Linked DNA regions of Nothobranchius furzeri. The protein of the gene in region 3 purifies or fractionates together with the protein of the main gene of each other region. This does not show direct contact. Links are inferred from orthologs where the notes say so. Each region holds a gene or a part of one and is shown on either strand. Other genes may lie near its edges.

Region 1 (4,984 bases), on a different chromosome or scaffold from region 3:
AATTGTATTAAAGTACAACTTGAACAAATTTGTGCTACAGTCATTGTTCAATACTTGAACCTGTAAGTCAGTGCTTGTATCTAATAGGACATCTGTCAGTACTGATCTTAGCCACACAGTGTTAAGAGTATTCAACCCACTGGGTTGTGATTTGCTCTCTAAAAGTATCTTTAAAGATGGCACAAAAGAGGCAAATGGTAATAGTCTAAGTTACAATCTGAATGGAACAAGAATCTACACCATAATAAGGTCAAAGTTTGACAAACAAAGCAGCACATGGTTGGTTTTTTACTTACTTTTATTACCTCTTCTGTTTTATAGCTGTTACTGCTGTTTTCATCTTTGTTTGATTTAACTATAAAGCACTTTGTCAACTTCTATTGTCTTAAAGCACTATATACATTGACTAAAGAAATGGAGCATTGGCACTACGAAGATTAATTTTATGCTTAATCAGTCTAAACCAAAACTAATCACTCTCTCATTGATTCATTTCTTTATCTCGCCAGAGCAAAGTTACAGTTGATTACATTTGCGCTGACAGTTTCAATTTTTCAGAGCAGTGTGTTGAAGTCAGATTTAAGGGATTCTGCACTTTAGGGCTAAAGGATCACACCAAAGCCTCAAATTTAATGTTCTTTGTTTCACACAAAAACAATGAGAATCCACACAAGCTAACCCATCCAGGCAAGTTGAGCAGCAAGAGATTAAAACAACATATGTTCTTTTTTAGCAGCTGTGCTTTGCTGGTGTGCAAAATGATTTTCCCTTGAAGGGGTTCCCTTACATAACCATGACCAAATCAAAAGTCCATTTTTTAACGATGTGAAAGTTGAAAAAATTGTTGAAAAAGTAAAAAGCCTCACCCAAGTTCTATACATGTGATTTACTTTGCAATTTTGCAAGATCCCGTGCCTATTTTCTTTTCTTTTACCAACTCCATGATTACAATGTAATAGGACAGCTAGAAGAGATTTGTCAAGAGCAAGAGAACATCAGACCCTGATGTTAACAAGACCAGAGTAGTGGACAAACAGACTAGGAGCAGCAAGGTCTTAACATAAATCATAAGTGAAGGAAGAAAAACGACTAGTGGCTTAGAACGATGCAATAACAAGCAGGTTCCCTCACCTGACATGATTTACAGCAACAAGAGAATTTACAGAATGGGCTCATGAACAGGAGCCCGTTTAGGTGGATTTGAATATAAGATGCCTTGAAGAAAATAATCAGTATGTGGAAAAGTTACAACTACAATAGCAATAAATAAACAATAAATAAACATTTCATGTGCAGGAACAAACTAAAAGGTACAAATTCATCTCTAAACAGTAAAAGCGTATAGTGTCTCATCAAGCAGTCAAACTCAGGACTAGTTTATGAAGTCTTGATTTTAACCACAGACTGTATGAATAATGGAAAAAGACCTACTCCGTAAGACAGGAAGCTGATCTGAAAGTACCTTAAAAGGTTTATTTTTGAGTGGGGAATCCTAAACTGTGTTTCAAAGTTATAAATAATTGTATTATCCACTGTAGAAAGTTTCCTGGACAACAAGCAAGCAGAGACTCAAGAGTTTTGCTGCCATCCTTAAACAGCTACAAAATGTTATAGAGGTTCATGCAAACACCATTTATAAATCTTTGACGGAAATTCCATGCAAATAATTACGTTATGCATCGTGAATGAAGTCTAATTAGTCCTGCAAATCAAGGCCGCCACGGAAGCTACCTAGAAAGGGTAAAATAGTAAACATGTATAACTTTTACACAGAAAAGAAAAAATAATCCAGTTATTTTCACAGAACGTTGCTGACTCCAGAACATTCATGGCTTCTGGTATCTTGTGATAACTGTGATAATCCCGAAAGAAAATCAACATTAAGCACTTTTATCTGAAACCAATGTTTACTGAAATTTTAAAGGTCAACTTTACTCATATTTTTAATACATTTGTAGGGAATCCTAGTAGAAATGGGTGCCTTGTAAGTTGTTCCCTGGAGCAAAAAAAGCTATAGTGCATCTGTGTGAGGACTTAGAAGTTAGCCAGTGGAGAAAGTAGCTTCAGACAACAGGATTTGGAGTCTTATTTCCTGATATTTGGACATTTGTTCTCTGATTGGCCAACAGCAGTGCAACTCTACCATTGACTCTGATTGCTTTGCAACATTGATGATTGATTTGATCTCCACAAATAAGCCTGGAAGAGTTTTGCTATGCTGTGGAAATGCCAGTGATAGCTTCTACTAGCTGAATATTCTCTGCTGTTTCCTAGATGCTAAACCAACAACAGCCTTCCTCTTCGTGAGCCAAGATGGGTGGGTCCATTCATGTTAAGTAACAGCATGACATAGATCTGTCAGGTTTTTCTGAACTGAGCATTCTTTCGTTTATTTTCCATCAAAATATAATGCAGGAAATAGAGGTAGAAGACCATTTTCAAGTTCAGCCTGTTTGTTAAAGCGATCATTTTCAAAAATAAATAAATTGTTTCTCAGCTTTTTAAGATAAAACTTTGACATCCACATAAAATTACTTTTTTGTATTAATCAGCAAAAATAAAACAAATTCTAATTAGATGTGAGCTCATCTGTATAAGAATAACGCAGTTTAAAACAGTGTAGGTTTTTTTAAACACTGTAGTTTTTTTTGATGGGCATTCAAATTGATATAAAACAACACTGGGGAAACATTTTTCAGAATATAGCCGTTCCATTTGACACTCAAAACATCATTATCTAATTTTAAAAAATCTTTATTTCTAATAAACAAAATTACTTTTAAACATTTTGTTGCCATTCGCGTGTTTATGCTAAATTTGGGAAGTTAAAGGTCCAATCACGCTGCTAAGTGATGTGGCAACTTGTGTAAACTTCTCAGGATTTGGAAAAACTTCCAGAAACTCAGTTTATTTCGCAGTTTAGGAACAAAACACTTCAAAAATGAATCTACCAATAAACTATCGAAAACTTGGAAAAATTGTACTGTTGTACAAAACAAAATTCAGCTAACGTTAGCAGTACACAATTCCTTACGACACTATGACGCTAAATAAAAATGATTATCCTGACGAGCACAAAAACATTATTATGGGATACTGTTTAAAAAGTCGTTTTAAAATGAGGCTAACTGTAGCACTGCCTTATTCTCTGGTTGGCAGCTACCACGAATAGCTAGATTAGCTTACCATTAGCCGGTACATCTGAATATCACTAACACGCGATCACGGGCGGATTAATAATCAGCACGACTTTAACTTATATTAAACGTCTTATGAATTATGAAACATTACCGTCGACGATTAGCACATAGCAGAGCCGCACAGCACCCCCAGCATGAGACTATGCGGCAGAAGAGGCTTTCACCGCTTTTTACTGAACCCTCGTACTGTGTTGACTTTCGTCTAAATCAAGAAATGCTTACCAGAATAAAGGCAATATCCACCCCAATAGCCTCTCTGTTGATGTGGTTCAAACTATTTCCGTTTAAGAGTACAAACTGTGTCTGTAAGTAGAGGTGGCTGGTTATTGATGGTGGAGCTGAAAGATATATCTGGCCTTGCCCACTACTAGGAATGCTGCATTCACGTGCAGTAGGAAATCACATCATGCACCATGACACTTGCGGGTTTTTATTATTATTATTTTTATTTATATGTTCCCGTTTCTTTTTGTAGATTGTTTAAATATCTTCTTTTTTAAGATTATGGATACAAATAACATGCAAATAAGACTATGAATAGTCGAACCACGTGTCAGAAACTGTTATTTATTGTTTTCTAATCTTTGTTCTTACGAGGGTCTATCAAGGTAGCACGTCTTTCAACGTGGAAATCAGCGTTTTTGTCTGTTTTCACCGAACCTGCCCCGGTAGAGGGCAGCTAATTGTGTAAATCCCGTTGATGTAAAGTGTAAATGCAATATCAAGCTATTCAAATGACGTTGATAAAAGATTAGTTTTGTTTGAGGACAACAACCTTTGTCTCAAAATGTTTAGGTGACACAAACTTGCCTTGTGCGCCCTCTGTCGTCTGCTGAAGTAATAACATTACTATTGGTGAAAGGAGTTGAAAGCCACCACTGTGAAGCTTTGGTTGATTTTTCTGCTATATGGTTGTTGTTGTTTTTTTCTAAGTCACCCACAGTGTTCTAAAAGGGTATTTTGCCACTTACAGATTTCTTCAACATCCTGTGATCAAATTTGGGTACTGCAGTTCTTCTAAATGAGTCCACGTTGAGCAATTGTTGCTATATCACGGACACGCACCGGAAGATTCTAGGCAAGGCAGCTTAATTTATTGAGCACATTTCAAACACAGAGGCAGTTCAATGTGCTTTACAATTAACAAGGCATGACATGAAAACACAAATTAAAATACACACAAATGGAATTACAGTTTAGAGCTAAAGGAGAAGACAAAGTTACAGGGCAGATCACAGTGGAGATGACGCAGCATAGGAAACAATTCATTTAAAGGCTGATGAGTACATTAGGGTTTTTACTTTTGTTTTAAACAACAGTAGGGTTGGGGCACATCTGAGGTCATGGGGAAGCTGATTCCATATGTGAGCAGCATAGTAACTATATCTCCATCATGTTTTGTTCTGACCCGTGGTTCTACCAGCTGGGTGTTTCCTAAGGATATCAGAGCCCTATTGGGAGTGTATACAGAAATTCAAGTTCAATTCAAGTTTGATATAGCGCCAAATCATGACAAGAGTCGTCTCAAGGCATTTCACGAATGAGATCAGACATGTATTTTGGTCCTATGACATTGAGTGATTTATAAACTAGTAGGAGCACTTTGAAATCTTTTCTGTTGTTTACTGGTAACCAGTGTAGGCATCTAAGAACAGGAGTGATGTGCTCCATTCTTTTAGTTCTTGTTAAGACTCTAGCAGCATTCTGAACAAGCTGCAGCTGCTTCACAGCTTTTTGGGGAAAACCAGTCAGGAGACCATTGCAATAGTCCAGCCGACTAGAAA
Region 2 (4,936 bases), on a different chromosome or scaffold from region 3:
AAGGCCTACAGGGGTACTTTGTTGTAATGTAGTCCCAAGTCTAAATCAGCTGCAAATCCTTTGTGGTATTATTTTTATTTGCAGTCAGTATGATTATTGAGGTTCACACCAAAGGCTAGCTGTTACCATTAACTCATTTATGCTAAGCTAAAGCTAACAGAATACCCACAGATTAGGTGAGTGTCTGGGCTGATTAAAAACTACTTTTTCTCCATTGATTCAACTCTGGAGAAGATGGCAACAGATGAAATGTATTTTAAGGAACGGCATCCCTTAGTCTGAACGCATCAAACATCTTTTACATTGGTGGGATTTAGCATAACATTTATGCTCATAAATACCCACTGAAATAAATGAAAGCTGAAGGTGGTGCAAAAGGGTTAGAAAGTGAAGCTACACAAACTCTTTAAGATGACAGAAAAACATTTTTGTCGGATGCTTGAACTAGCCATTAGCTCACCAGTCTAAGCCAGTCAGGAAGCCATCCACATCTCTCCATACCCACTGCAGAATCACATTTGAACTCAACAAAAACTCAGACAGTAACTTCTTATGCACACCATACCTTCACAAAGGCGTTATCTAGTCGTACTGCTTGCTGGGAGTCCTCTAAAGCCTCTCTGAACCGACACAGCATCATTAGTGTGGCTGCCCGGTTTCCATAGTAACTTGCATTCTTCGGACACAGATCTGACAAAAAAAAGATTTTGTTTTTGAGTACATGTTTCTCACGTAGAAAACCCCACCAACGATAGACGATGGATGAAAGAATCTTATAAAACAAATGTTTACCGATAGCCTTGGAGTAATAACTGAATGCCTCTGTGTAATCCTTCTGGATATAAAAGACATTGCCTTGCTCTTTAAAGCCCTCCGCTTCCCTGTGGAGAGAAGGCAGAGAAACAGAAAAATCAGAGCAAAATGAGATCAGGTCAGTAATGATTTTTTGCCAAGAATTAGGTCAACGAGTAGTCATCTCAAAGCACATGCCATGTATTTCCATTGGGGTTAAAGGCTGTAAAGCCATCCATTCAGCTCCCTAAACCACTTGTTCACAGTGAGGCTGATAGTTCCTGATTTTATTCCGAAACTTGAAATTTTCTTGAAGCATTTGTGCCATTTAGTTTGGAGAAGGGCTGGGTGACATGGCCTAAATGTATTGAGCAGTTTGCCTTGATGACCATAACTGGATGATAACTGCCAGTACAGCAACAGTTGACTGTTCCCTTTAACAACATTTTGGATTTGCTCGCTGTCACCAGCTTCTGCTGTCCACTACCTGCTGCCCTTGCCCACAGCTCCAACATTTGAGTCATCTGTGTCCTCACCATCTCCCTTCAGGTTACAGACCAAATGTTGTGGGGTCACGTGACTTTGTGTAGGTTGTTGCCAACCTACACACATCTTTTCATTGTTTATTATCAAATTTATTGACATGGGAATAATTCTCGATAAGAGTGAGACATTTCGATAACGATACATTTTCGATTTATTGCCCAGCTCTACATATTACCACCCAATAACCTGAGAAAGAGAATTGGAAGAAACCCTGAAATGAAATATAAAATGACTGGTACTATGAGCAACTTGCTTTTAATGGATTCATCTATAGCAGAGGAACTTATTTAGCTAATTTGCAACAAATATGATAAATAAACTGAAAGAGTTCCATAGTTTTTGAAATTTTTTTGTATGGAACAACACAATATATTGTTTTTGCAAAACACTTAATAAGTAGCATGACTTCTAAGTTTAAGAGTCAAGCCAATTTTACAGCCAACAATTTACCCATAACGTTTGCAGATCTCTACAGAAAATGTTTAACTGATCTAAAACCACAAACAAGAGTTGTTTAAAACTCCATTTTTACACTCTTAAGCAAGAGTGTTGATTAGTTCCTAACCACACCTCTACTGCAGTTTGTGAATGGCGTAATGTTGTCCTTGTAGACCAGGTTGTTGATGAAGACACACTTTGTGTTAATCTCGATGCTTTTACTAATGTGAGACCTAGCAAGAACACGGATGAATTAAATCATTATAAAATGGAATAGGTTAAGAATAGTTCAAAACATTTGTCTTTAACCACATTGTTTGGCTTTTATACTGATCTAATGGTAACTAGAACCAAACCCTCACTGACCAACTAAATGGCAGACTTGTCAGCATCTTTTAGAAAACTTGATCAAATTCAGCAGCGGGTCTCAATCCTGGTCCTGGAGGAGCTTTAGGTTTAACCCTCTTTAAACACACCTCATTTCAAACAGCAGGTAATTAAAAGGCTTCTGCAGAGCTTGATGACCTGCTACACAGGTGATTTGACCACTGAATCAAGTGTGTTGGAGCAAAGAAACAACAAAAACATGCTGGATACCGGCCGCCCAGGACCAGGATTGAGAACCACTGAAATACAGTGAACACTACTAAAGCAGAGGCAATCTAGATTCTGCTAAAGCAATCAACTTATCAGATTCAGGGAGTTTGACTCCATGTTATACGAGATGTTTTAGATGGCTCAAAAATACACAAATTTTCTGATCTTCACTACACTAAAATTAACAAAAATGTTAATTCCTCTTTGATAAAACATTGTGTTTTATGATTTGTTGAGGGGATGCAAATAAAGACATAACAGAACATTTTTTACATTAAAAAAATAAATAAACTCCTCCCAGTACTTCTAACTTGTTTATTTTTGCCCATTTCTCAAAGTTTGGACGCCACTGATTTGACTGTCCTGAAATACTAAACTAAATATTTTTCAACAACCACTAGACTTTAAACTTTAGATTAGCTCCTATACAATACACCAGTTATGCTTTAATGACTCACCCTCTGAAACCTAAAATTGACTAGAATATCTTCTTTGCAATAAACTTGCTTTGATACATCTGGATGGTAACTAGAGGCTTGCTGAAATACTCCTAACCAATGCAGAACATCTGTGATTATAAGGGACAGTGCCTATGATGCATTCCAGAATTTTCCGGTCTGCGTTAGCTAAACATAGAAAGAGTCTAAACAGCAGCCAACCCGTAGCTATTTTGTGAAGCAGGCAAGGCGAGCAGAGCCAGGAACATATGACACCATGCTCCGTGCAACTGCCATGACTTTATTTGGATGGCTTAAAGCTTAACATCACGACCACACAGTCAGAGAACAGTGTCATTCTACAAAATCAGAAAATACGGCAGTGGTGCAAAGGCCCAAACAACGCTAATGCTATGAAACTAAAAACAAATTCAGATCCTCGTTTAAATCCGGCAGAGAAGTTAGAGAAGGGGAACAAGGCTATCGAACGTTAGCTTACAGTTAGCAATAGCGCTAGTTAGCATTTAAGTGCGACAAGAAAACTCCGATGACAAGGCAGTTAAAACACACGTTGGACTAACAAGTTATTTGTGTATCCGATAACCATTGACAACAAGGCATTGCCATTTTCAAACCTTTCTATATCCTCGTCAGTGATGAGCAGCTCCATGTCAGGCTCCGCGTTCGAAGAATCACAGCTGTCTGTCGCCATTTTACCGTCAATGAGAATGGGCGGGGTTTCATACTGCGGTGTTACGTACGCTGTAAACAGGAAGTCACAGTTTTGCAAGAAAACGTCATTACGTACACTGTAAACAGGAACTAGCCCGCTAGGTAAGAAAGCAGTCTGTCAGTAATGTTAAATAATACTACAAACCATTAACTTTTGCCAAGAACGAAGCTAGTCAGTGTATGTTTGACGACATGTACTAAGTGTTGTCAGGTTTGGCTTACGTCCATTGCGTACACGGTGACATTGTAGTTGCGTATCTTATGAAAGCTAATGCTAGGCTAAAAGCCCACAAAGAAAAGCAACTATGTTCATTCTAAAATTATTTACTCAATTTTGACATTAATAGTTAATAAAAACAAAAGAGTTTTATTTAGCCAACGCAATGGAAAGGCTAGGAGATGGAAAGGCAGAGAGCTAGCAGGATGTTTTTCTCATTTTGTGACTCAGCTGTGTCTGGTTTTGTTCGTTACACCTTGGAAGCATTTTATGTTTGATTTGGGTCGACTATGTTGCATTTGGGGAATGCTGGATCCTGTCAGTCTGCTGTTCATTTTCACTTGCTTTTTTATTTTTATTTAATTTTTATGTATTTTTACACTCATTAAAAGACTTGCTGTTGAAATAAAAGAAAACAAACAGGAACACCTCTATGGCTAATATATCAGCACTTCTGCAGAAACGTCGTTTGGAGCCTCCAATAAGGAGGAGGTCAAAATTATTCAGGAAGTGTCCCAATTGAAAACAATATCTGACCTCTTTGCTTTATTCATGTTATGAAACAATTATCATTGAGCAAAGGTATTGAAAATAAACACTAATTGTTCTTTAATCAACATTCTGACAAAACCGCCTTAGTGTTTACGGTCTTCAGACATGGGAAAGAGTTTTTACAACTCCGTTGTTCACAGATGCCAGATCACTGCATGACACTGATGCTGTTAATACTTATAATGTTTATAAAATAAATTAAAATCACACTGCGACTGATAATAAATTTATTCATGTCATTTATGACATTTACTCTTTTCTCTACAGTTTTAATGTTAACTGGCTCAGCAGGGTTTAATCTGTTTGTTTTATTCCTTCAACAGATTTTCCTACTAGGGACTAGGACGTCATCATGGGAAAAAGCTGTAAAGTAGTTGTGTGTGGTCAGGCTGGAGTTGGTAAAACAGCTGTACTGGAACAGCTGCTCTATGCCAATCATGTTGCAGGTATGTCACCAGGCTTCTGTAAAAACTGAACAAAGATGATCAAAATTGTCTGAGAAAAAGCTGTTTCTGCGTCATTTCATACAATAATATGCTTCTGCAACAGACTACAGCTCAGAAAATAGCACTCATTGATACAGACTGGTTGAAAAGAGGAAAAATATTCAGTATGGCAGGCTGTC
Region 3 (4,991 bases):
GTTTGAGAGAGGATCTGAGAGGGGTGGCAACATTTGCAGCAACACTGAAAACCCTCTCGGATGGTGCGCTCGTTGCACTAACGCACACGTACCTGCGTGCGACTCTGGCGAGCAAAGGGAATCTCTCCTGGTTGTTGTTCCACCGTGTCACGGGGGTTTTCTTTAGGGTGGATGCATTCCTCCTGCAGGTAGCGAGTGAGCTCCAGCTCGGCTCAAACTCTCTTCGGGACGGCTGCAGAAGCAGTGCTTGTCCGGGACTTCAGCAGGTCTCCGAGCGTTTATTTATTTATTTTTGCCGCTGGTGGCAGCTCCGTCTCGGCCAAGGACTCTGGCTGCGCAGCAGCTGATGTACTGAAAACCAAAGTGCTCCCACAGGAGCGAAGTAACGTTTCGTTTTGATACCAGTGCAGCCATCCTTCTCAACATGCATCATTGAGTTGAACCAAGTTCAGTAATCGCGCCGTGGCGCATGATGCAGCGCGGTGGGCTTCTTCATATCGCGATATTTCATTTTTGCGGTTACCGCGACAGCCCTAGTGTCCAGTATGATGCTCAGGTGTTCTGGTGGAAATCTTTTCTTGACTGATTCAGCTACCTCTGCGATGTGCATAATTAAAATGTCAGCGTACCTGCAGCCTTGAGGTTTCTACATCAAAATAAACGGACAACTACAGGAAATATCCGGTCAATGCAAACTCTGTCATTTAACGGTTTCACCTTCTTCTGAAGACTGTTGCAAAGAGAAACATAACACCAGAGCCATGCGCACTGCACCATTATCGCCATCACTGTAAATTTGGGAAAAAGTGAATTGATCGGATCCTTTTACTTTTTCAACATTGTTTAATGTTTTGTTCAGTACGGTTTAATTACAGCAATCCCAACGAGAGAGCCTGGATTTGTATTCTGAACAGCTTAAACACGCTTTAAAAGGAGACACGTGTGACGCGTTAAAAAGCGTCACCTGCCCAGGCCCGGTAGGCGCACCCAAAACGCCGCGACTGCTGTGGCTCCCAGTGTTTTCTTTACTGTGGGAAACGGGTAATAATGGCTGTTTGATGGGAACAGGTTGCCGGCCCCTGCACTAGACAGTCTGATCTAGTAGCCAAGTAAATGGCTCATAAAGATTATCCGCCATCACCAAAAAGTAAAAGATTTTCAGTGTTAATTATTTATCTGATGCATAAAAACACCATGGTTAGGCACAAAGGAAAAACAGATGTATCTTCCATTATTATTATTACTATTATTATTATTATTATTATTATATGCGCTGGTGGGTGTTCTGCCAGTTGAAAACAATTTTGCAAATAACAAAACAAGACTTCAATATTTCAAATGCTTGAGTTTCTGTAAATCTATAGTCCAGGTCTGGACACTTTGGGTTTTTGGTTTTAGAAAGACAAATGGTTCTTCAGGAACCAGAAAAAATAAAGTCCTTTAGAAAACTCACTTTGCGATTTGTCTGTAATCTTCTCGGTTCTCTCTGCCAACATCAATGGCCTTCTCACAAAACTCTCTGCATCTCTCAAAGTCGCCCATCTCGAAATACACAGCTAAAACAAGAGCAACACATTCACATTCAGTTATATTACCAAGAGATCAGCAAGTGTCCTACAAGCATGCAGGATGTTTATGTTGGAAAAAAAGTTTGTTTGTAGCAGCAGAATGCTTGTAAACATAAAAAATAATAAAGCATAAACACTTACTAAAATATAGAATTCATCTACAATTAGAATTTTTTTCAAACGAGCCCAAATGTGTGTGGCTTGTTTAGTTCACCAACATGAGTGGGAACGAACCTGCTTGGTTGGATAAATACGTCATATTGGTGGGGTCGTGCTTAACGGCCTCTTCATAATATTTCAATGCTGCTTCAAAATCCTTATTCTTGTATGCAGCATTTCCGAGTTCTTTCTCCTTCAGAGCCTGTCAAAATTACAAATATGCATCATCTTAAAAACAAACATAATTCAACACCAGATTGATGTAATGTTTAGATTTTTAGCCACTTTACCATCCTCTTGTTCTCAGGGAGGTCCTCCTCTTTTGGAGGTGGTGGAGGAGTTTCTTTGGGTTTGGGAGGAGGTGGAGGTGTGGGCTCCTCTTCCTCCTCCATCTCAGAAAGGTTCAGGCCCAGGAGCACAGACAGAGTAGTCATCACTCTTGGATCCTGCAGCTTCCTACAAAGCCAGAGACAAATAAGAGAATGTTAAATAGCACAGTATTCTAATATTCGTCAAAGTAAATCGCCACACACTGGACCATCTTTCAAATAAGAAGATAAATTTTACAAATTTCCACGACTGGTTTTATTTGATTTTTCAGTTTTATTATACAAATGGTTAGGATAAATAAATAAAAAACAACGAATAAAAGCACATACGCTCCGAGTTCTGATGGTTTATTCCTAAGCTGCTCCAGTAGCTCTTTGTAGCTGGGATCTGTCAGGAGCTCACGAGTCCGAGGATCGTTCTCCAGCTTCTGATACAGGTTGGGCGATGCAAAAGGGTTCATCATCGATTTCTCTGCTGAAGGACGAGCAACTTTTTGTTAGCAATCACAAATGAGACTTCAGAATGCATGCACGCATGTGTGCAAGCCATGGGGTGAGGTACACATGAGGTTTGGACCTCGTTATGAAAGAAATTTTAAGGACTGGTCCTATTGGGTTTTTCATTGATTACCCCTGATCTAGGTACTGTGGAGGAAAATAAAGAAACCAGCAAAGACAGAAACCATAGTAAACAGCAGAAACGTTCCACAGTCTGGGATCAAGAGTTTAACTTCAGGCAGATTAGCTAATGCTAAGCTAGCACGTAGCACGCTCATGATCAAGTGGAGTTCAGAAAAAGATGCTTGTGAATGACTAAACTCTACAAGCGGAAGAAAAATTCCCACCATCCCGCTTATGTGTGGATGTCTGCAGTGGTATGGAGCAGAACCGCTGCAGCTGCTACCTGGAGGCAGGTTGTTGCTACTGAGTCAGCAACTCAAGTCTGTGCCACACACACGCAGATCAATATCAAACCATTGTAGCATGTAATTCACAAAGCTTCTACATTTGAATACAATTTTAACTGGATTATGTTGCCAGCTCGTACATAATAAAATGCATATGCCAACATTACATTATTACTAATAGAAATTAAAAATAAATGGTAGTAGCATTTCCAGTGGCATACTACTGAACATATTATTGAAATAACTAAATTCTATTGATCATATGTGATTTTATTTGGATATGTTTAGACAAGGATGGGTGATATTAAAACAAACATTTTAATGAAATATAAGTCAGAGTTTGTTCCATAAAGTATAACCTATCAGCTGTGAAGGAGGAAACTAGACGACAAATTGAATACGTTTTTGATCCCTTTATATAATTTTGTGGTTTAATTATATTTTTAGCAGCATACCATAATCCTGTGAAATGTCGTCAAATAGAATATTCGATTAATCAATGGAGGATTCAATAGAATATTCAAATACTAAAATATTCTATAGCTGCAGCCCTAGATAATAGACTCTAAAACCAAACGCTTGTACCTGTAAGTTTGGCCTGGATGTTCTGTAAACCCTCCTTTAGCTGCTGATTACTCGGCTCGTGGCGAAGTCCCTCCTGGTACGTTGTTCTGGCATCTTCCAATCGTCCAAGAAATTCCAAGGCTGCAGCTTTCCGAGAATAGCCCTAGGTGAATAAATTTGTTCGATTTCAGATGCTGTTTAGTTTTTATTCTAACACATCAGACAGAATTATGACAGAAGGATGCCTGACCTTGGCCCAGTCGGGTTTGATCTTGATGGTCTGACAGGCATCTTGGAGAGCGTTCTCATAACTGCCCTTTTTGGCGTAGGCAGCTGAGCGGTTACTGAACAGCACATGGTTTGATGGATCGACGGTCAAAGCTTCAGTGTAGCAGCGAATAGCTTCATCAATATTTCCTGCACTCAGTGCCTTGTTGCCCTGGTCTTTCAATGCTGACACCTACAAAACATACAAACACTTTTACAAAACCTCCCCTTTAAATGTTTATGTGTGGAATCCCCAGCGGAAATCCCAACTAAAGAGAACATCAACAGCTGTTACTGGCAGACAATAAAAAAAGGAAACTGACCCCAACAGGTCCAAAAGCAATGGAGAAAGAACACTGAACAGCTTTATCATCATTAAAGTTTCACCTTATGTGACAAAACTTTGCTTTTAATGAGCTTTACTTTGCATCAATAAAATACAAATTCTAGATTTACATATTAACTAGGGCTGGGGGTAAACGATTATTTTTAAAACGATTATTCTGACGATTATTTTATCGAATAGTCGACTATTCTAATGACTATTTAGAAAATTAATGTAATGATTATTTTTCTATTGCACAATTAACAAAAACCAGAAAATCTCAAATAAATTCCTCAAAAAAATTGATAAATTCTTACTGTAAGAGAAGAAACACTACAGGCCTTCCATTTTGTATAACGCTGCTTTTATTGTGTTGGTTGGTTATGTTCTGGTGACATGTAGAACTTGGGAGTGCAGGCTGCTGCCTGAGAGGTGGTAGAAGATGGAGTGTCTCCATGCTGCTTTGTTTTGGTCACTTATGTGCGTGAGGCGAGTGGTGTTACGGGTTAAACCAAACTCAAGGTGATATTTTACACTAAACCGAAAACCCACAACACTCTAAATGTAATAAAAGGGAGATCTACACCACAAAAAAGATGAACTCTAAACCAAAACGTAACAGCTTATCCCAACGCAAGAAGCTGTTAGCGAAGATGCTAACAGTAGCTTTACCAACGCTAAGTTCAAGTTACCAAGTTTAAATAAACCAAAAACACCCAGCAGCAAACAGACCAGCACGGAGGAGAGACTGCTACCACCAAAACAGCTCTCCTAATGTCTGAAAGAAGCTCCTTAATGAAGGGAGAAGCGCTCCCGGTGATGTTCTACATCTGCGGTAGAGACGAAGCAGCGCATCTGACCCCGGAAGTTG
Region 4 (5,157 bases), on a different chromosome or scaffold from region 3:
TTATTTGTGTTTAAAAACCAGGTGTTTTAGTGGACGTTTTCTCTAAAGTAGATATCAGATTTGATAGCGTTGTGGAGCTCAGTGAAGAATAAAAAGTACTCGTTGGTTGAACTGTTAAGGGGATCCTAGTCTAGAACTCCTAAAATTCAAACCAGTTCTTTAAAGCCTCTATTTAGAAAATTACACTTTGTTGGGGCTCACAATGGCCCAGGAGCCCTGATGAATGGCCGAACACAACCCAATAATAAAGACCTACAATGGAAAGACTGGTTTGCCCCGTCCACTTGGCCAGGACATGAATATTAAATGAGCTGTGTGCTGATAGGCCAACTTACCCCGATGGCTCTGACGCTGCCTGAAGCTATCTCTGGGTGTTTCTCAATGCCAAGGAACCTTGCCTTGATGTCTTGGCCCCGCCCCGGTTGCCTAGGAGATACGTCATCGGGAGCCGCCAAGACGTGTTCCAATGTTCATGTTCTACCGAGGTTCCGTTTGTTAGCCATTTAGCTAGCTGAGCGGGGATACATGGGAGATGTCTTGTAGCCTAGTCTTGGTCAAACATTACCCAGAATACACCGCGGTATTTTCAAAAGGACGGCGGATCAGAAGCCGGCGGCTACTTCGGGGGCAAATTTCAAGTTTAAAAGTAAGTCAGCTAATTTAAAATGTTTTTTTTTTTTTAGATCCAAAGAAGTTATCTATGGTTGGTTAGTTGTTTAGTAGTTGCAGCTTCGGTGGCTAGCGGGTAGTAACTCACTTATATTTTTGATTTAATAAACATATCTCGTTATATATTTATATTGAAACTAATACATATAAAATATGACCTCATCTCCCGTGTCACGTGACGTTACGTGACCGCCATGGAAGCCACGGTCACGTGATGCAAGTCTGTTCCATTTAACCGTTTTCTTTGACCAAGGAAGGACCGTGTCCTCGTAAGCAAGGCGCCTGGCCTCACAAGACATCGCCTCGCAAGGCCAGGCGCCTTGACATTGAGAAACATCCTCTGTGTCCAGTATCCAGATAACTTAATAGGGGAACTATCGGTCTATCTGGCATTTATTCATAGTCTGGATATTCCCAGAACTTCCTGGACATTGTGTGCTCTGACATTCTTCTTCTTTGTTGTTTTCCTCTTGTCCAACAAGGACGTTAGCTGTAGCTCAGGTTAGCGTTTGCAGTAGCTCTGCGGTTCAGCATTACTTCTACCAACATTTATAATGGCAGATTCGGAAGAGGGTTGGGGCATGCATAATTAAGGGTGATTTGGAAACCTAGAAGGTATTTTGGACCACCATGTGACATAACATCAGCTGGACAGTCCTGATGGACCTGCTGCCCGTATTCTCCATCGTGGCTTATGTTGTACTATGTTATTCATGAGGCAGAACTTCTGTCACCTCTGGGACAGACAATAAAGCAGTTTCATTTCCAGTCATTTAGTTCAAGTGATTTGTCTTTTTCCTGATTGTTTTATTCCCTTAATTTATCTCAACACATATTTTGTTCAGATTGGCAACAGAATTATGAAATATACACATCTGTGAAAGCACTCACACTTAATCTTCATAAATCAGACCAAACATGTTCAAAGAAATGTTAGCGAAAAGAACATGGATTCAACAAAATTACTGAAGAGGCATATTCACTTTCATTTTCCCTGCATTTGCCTAGAAATCGATCTAATGGTAGTAGTGGCAAAAGACTTGGCTCTGCAGGTCGGTCTGGCCACACTACATGACAGCCTCAGCAGATCTACCACTGGCCTGAAGAGTTTTGCTTCTTGCAATTCACATCACTCTATGTTTATTGGATGGCCTCAGCACCAGAGCTATGATGGAGAAAAACTACAAAGATGGCATCGACTCAGGAATGGTGCTAGTTCTGCTGTGTGCTTTTAACATCTTGATCTAGTGGAGCAACCCGTGTTCTGACCTCCACCCCCCAAATGTGCTTGTGTGAATGTTTGAATGATTGATTGTGTTGTAAAGCACCTTAGGGGGCCATTTTTTATTTAAAGTGTAATTTTAGCACAGACTAATTTCAAGACAAATTGTTTAAAAAAATGAAAAAGTTGCTTAGTATTGACGAGCGTATTTTCCTACTGCTGTCACTGCCCCCTACTGGACAGCAGCAGCTACAGCAGAAACCCAGATATTACACTCTCATCTAAAAACAAAAACATTCATTTAATGAATTATAAATGGTGGGTTGTTTATCACCAATAGGCTTACATTTGAAAAACACATCCAACCAGTAAAGGAAAAAAAAGTCTTGGGGGGCTTTTATTTTGTCAGGCCCACCGGAAGCGTGTCGCCTTCCAGTGGGCTGGTTTCCTCAATAAGCGGAAGTACAAGGTGAAGAGAAACTTTCGGGTTTGTTAAGAGTTGTTTTTCAACCTGGTTCTGATGTGACCCACTCGGTTCTGTAAAGTGGAGGAGTTCGGTTCTCGAGCAAAAATGGCGGGAGGGTTCCGACGAGAACAGTTCCTATTCAAACTTCCCTCTCCCGTCAACTGGGAGTTCTGCCGAGTCATGGACGGACTGTCGGACTTGGACTGGACCCGGTTCGGTGAGTTCCCCTCTAGAACACTCGACAAACAGGTCCCCTGGATCCGTATCAATCTACACCTGACCAGAGTCACGTGCTGCGGGCGACGGTCTGCTTTGAAGTGTCTCAGCTGATTGTTCTGCTGTCATGTGGCCCCGCCCACACCTGGAGCGACAAACAGGACCCCCACGCACCCCCTCCCAGGGTTGACCCGGAGAAGCTTGGCTGTGATTTTTGCCCGTTGTGGAGCAGGTGTAGCCCCGCCTCTCACCTGGTTCAAACGTCACACCTGTCCCAGTGACTTGTTAAACATTCCTGCTGCATTTAGTTACTTCTTATTTCCAGTTTCGGGTTTTCACTCATTCATGTCTCATTTGCACAGCTTTCCATTCCCCGTGAATATTCTGCTGCAGTCTTAACAGAATTTTATTTTTAATGCGGTAAATTTAATTAAATCTTCTAAATATTTACATATTTATTTAAACTGACCAGACGGCAATGGAATTTATTCCATTCTTTCCCCTGAGACTCCACTCGGGATGAAGCAGCTCCACAACATTCTCAAATCCTTCCCTTGAGTGAGGTGACAGTGGCACAGGAGATTGCAGAAGGTTGCAGGTTTGAGCCCCGCTCAGTTTGTCGCTCCTTTAGCAAGACACTTAACCCCCCTGCCTGCCGGAGGGACCGGCGGCGCCTGTGCTTGGCAGCCTCGCCTCCGTCAGTGTGCCTCAGGGCAGCTGTGGCTACATCATAGCTCATCCCTACCAGGGTGTGAACGGGTGAATGACTGGTTGTGTTGTAAAGCGCCTTGAGGGGTTCCAGGACTCTAGAAGGCGCGATATCAAATACAGACCATTTACCGTTCTGTCTGCAGCCTCGGAGGTGCTGAAAGACCAGACGGCTGTGCGACTGGCTGAGAGGCAGGCCCAGCGGACCGACTGGGTGATGAACCAATGGGGATGCAGGAACGGTCGAGTTGGAGAGCTGATTGACTTGTTAGAGTCGCTGCAGCTTTTTAGGCCACGAGATGTCATCTTGACCTGTAAGTACACCTCTGACCTCTGACCCTATATACAGGGAGCCCAAGTCTCCTCCCTCTCCGGTCGGCTCACGGGTCTCCGAAAGAACCAAAAAATGAATGCAAGTCGCTTTGCCTCACGCCCTGGATCGCACACGTTGTCCTGCAATTTAAATGAAAAGCAATGAAGTGTGTTTCGACCACGCCTGTCACGTACGTGGAGGTCGATCGTACCGCACCAGGTTTATTCATAAAGCACGTTTAAAGCGCCGTGCAGCAGCTGACCAAAGTGCTGTACGGTGGTAGAAAGAAGGATGTCAGCAGCGACTCGAACCGAGTCAGTGACTGGGCTTGTCCAACACAGAGGGGAAGGTCGTAATTAGCATAACGTGCATTCATTTTTTCGTTCCTCCCATGGTCCGGAAGTAGATGGACGTGACTTAGGCTCCATATTAGAAGAATGTTCACCCCTTCTTATGTCTGCAGGGACTCAGGCGATGAATCCTTCCTCCTTTGCTCCTCCTCCTCTTCCTCCTCCGCCACCTCCTCCTCGTCTCCCTTCTCCTCCACCGTATGAGCAGCCCACAGGTAGACCCAAAACAAGCCTGCCCATTGCTCTGATCAGCTGTTCTCCATCTGTTTTCCATCATCATCATCATTGGGGCGACGGTGGCACAGGAGTTAAGTGCTCGCCCCGTAATCGGAAGGTTGCAGGTTCGAGCCCCGCTCAGTCTGTCGCTGTCGTTGTGCCCTTGGGCAAGACACTTAACCCACGTTGCCTGCTGGTGGTGGTCAGAGGGACCGGCGGCGCCAGTGCTCGGCAGCCTCGCCTCTGTCAGTGCGCCCCAGGGCAGCTGTGGCTACATCGTAGCTCATCCCCACCAGTGTGTGAATGTGTGTGTGAATGGGTGAATGACTGATTGTGTTGTAAAGCGCCTTGGGGGGTTCCAGGACTCTAGAAGGTGCTACATCAAATACAGGTCATTTACCATTTTTACCATCAGACGGATTCCAGTACTAAACCATAGTCTGTGCCTTCTCAGCACCAGGTCCCTCTGGCTGCTCGACCGGCGCTGATGTTTGTAAATCGTGTGAAACTCCTGTTAGCAGTGCTGCTTCCAAACACCAACTGAAATAGAGATGCCACTCAGCCGTGCAAAGGGCGTTCGCTGTGGTTTTAAACAGTGCTTATTAATGATGCAGCTGACATTCACACATCGGTCCGCAGCAAGACCAACCCTGGTAACCACGACAGGAAGTAAGAACTCAGCAGAGGGATAGATCAAACTTTGTGGACTGGCTTAAAACCAGACTGGAGTGTTTCTAGAATGTCATCCTCTGAGACATGACCTTCTCCGGAAGATTAGAAATAAAAGGAAGTCTGGAGATAGGTCGGTACCTGGACGAGGCCAGGCTTCTTCAGGAAAGGCTTCAGGAAAACCCGGGGACCAAGTGAAGTAAAAGCTTCTTTTAAGAGTCTAGGAGGCATCATACCTAGGGCTTGGTAGGGTTGGTTTAAGATGTCACCTTTTTCACACCTTCTGGGTTTGCAGGTATGTAATTGAGACACTGATTGGTGAATCTGA

The links. Proteins that work in one complex are often made in the same cells at the same time.
Region 1: the proteins of stip1 (region 3) and dnajb6b purify together in Homo sapiens (affinity purification with mass spectrometry; 3 studies listed by BioGRID and IntAct, with this or other methods). This does not show direct contact. The link is inferred for Nothobranchius furzeri from reciprocal best matches to the Homo sapiens genes STIP1 and DNAJB6.
Region 2: the proteins of stip1 (region 3) and dnajc7 purify together in Homo sapiens (affinity purification with mass spectrometry; 4 studies listed by BioGRID and IntAct, with this or other methods). This does not show direct contact. The link is inferred for Nothobranchius furzeri from reciprocal best matches to the Homo sapiens genes STIP1 and DNAJC7.
Region 4: the proteins of stip1 (region 3) and irak1 purify together in Homo sapiens (affinity purification with mass spectrometry; 3 studies listed by BioGRID and IntAct, with this or other methods). This does not show direct contact. The link is inferred for Nothobranchius furzeri from reciprocal best matches to the Homo sapiens genes STIP1 and IRAK1.

What each region holds. Positions count from the first base shown.
Region 1 is NC_091747.1:47,512,049-47,517,032, forward strand, and holds the start of dnajb6b (dnaJ homolog subfamily B member 6b), read right to left. Parts: upstream 3,585-4,984; 5' UTR 3,423-3,584; intron 1-3,422. UniProt on the Homo sapiens protein: Has a stimulatory effect on the ATPase activity of HSP70 in a dose-dependent and time-dependent manner and hence acts as a co-chaperone of HSP70. Plays an indispensable role in the organization of KRT8/KRT18 filaments.
Region 2 is NC_091745.1:16,067,782-16,072,717, forward strand, and holds the start of dnajc7 (dnaJ homolog subfamily C member 7), read right to left. Parts: upstream 3,585-4,936; 5' UTR 3,523-3,584; coding exon 3,446-3,522; intron 882-3,445; coding exon 793-881; intron 691-792; coding exon 566-690; intron 1-565. Other genes in the region: nkiras2 (NF-kappa-B inhibitor-interacting Ras-like protein 2), read left to right, coding at 4,664-4,757. UniProt on the Homo sapiens protein: Acts as a co-chaperone regulating the molecular chaperones HSP70 and HSP90 in folding of steroid receptors, such as the glucocorticoid receptor and the progesterone receptor.
Region 3 is NC_091750.1:53,229,186-53,234,176, reverse strand, and holds part of stip1 (stress-induced-phosphoprotein 1), read right to left. Parts: intron 3,989-4,991; coding exon 3,779-3,988; intron 3,692-3,778; coding exon 3,550-3,691; intron 2,532-3,549; coding exon 2,387-2,531; intron 2,184-2,386; coding exon 2,018-2,183; intron 1,930-2,017; coding exon 1,803-1,929; intron 1,557-1,802; coding exon 1,454-1,556; intron 1-1,453. UniProt on the Homo sapiens protein: Acts as a co-chaperone for HSP90AA1. Mediates the association of the molecular chaperones HSPA8/HSC70 and HSP90.
Region 4 is NC_091755.1:47,789,088-47,794,244, reverse strand, and holds the start of irak1 (interleukin-1 receptor-associated kinase 1), read left to right. Parts: upstream 1-1,573; 5' UTR 1,574-2,462; coding exon 2,463-2,574; intron 2,575-3,427; coding exon 3,428-3,595; intron 3,596-4,057; coding exon 4,058-4,159; intron 4,160-5,157.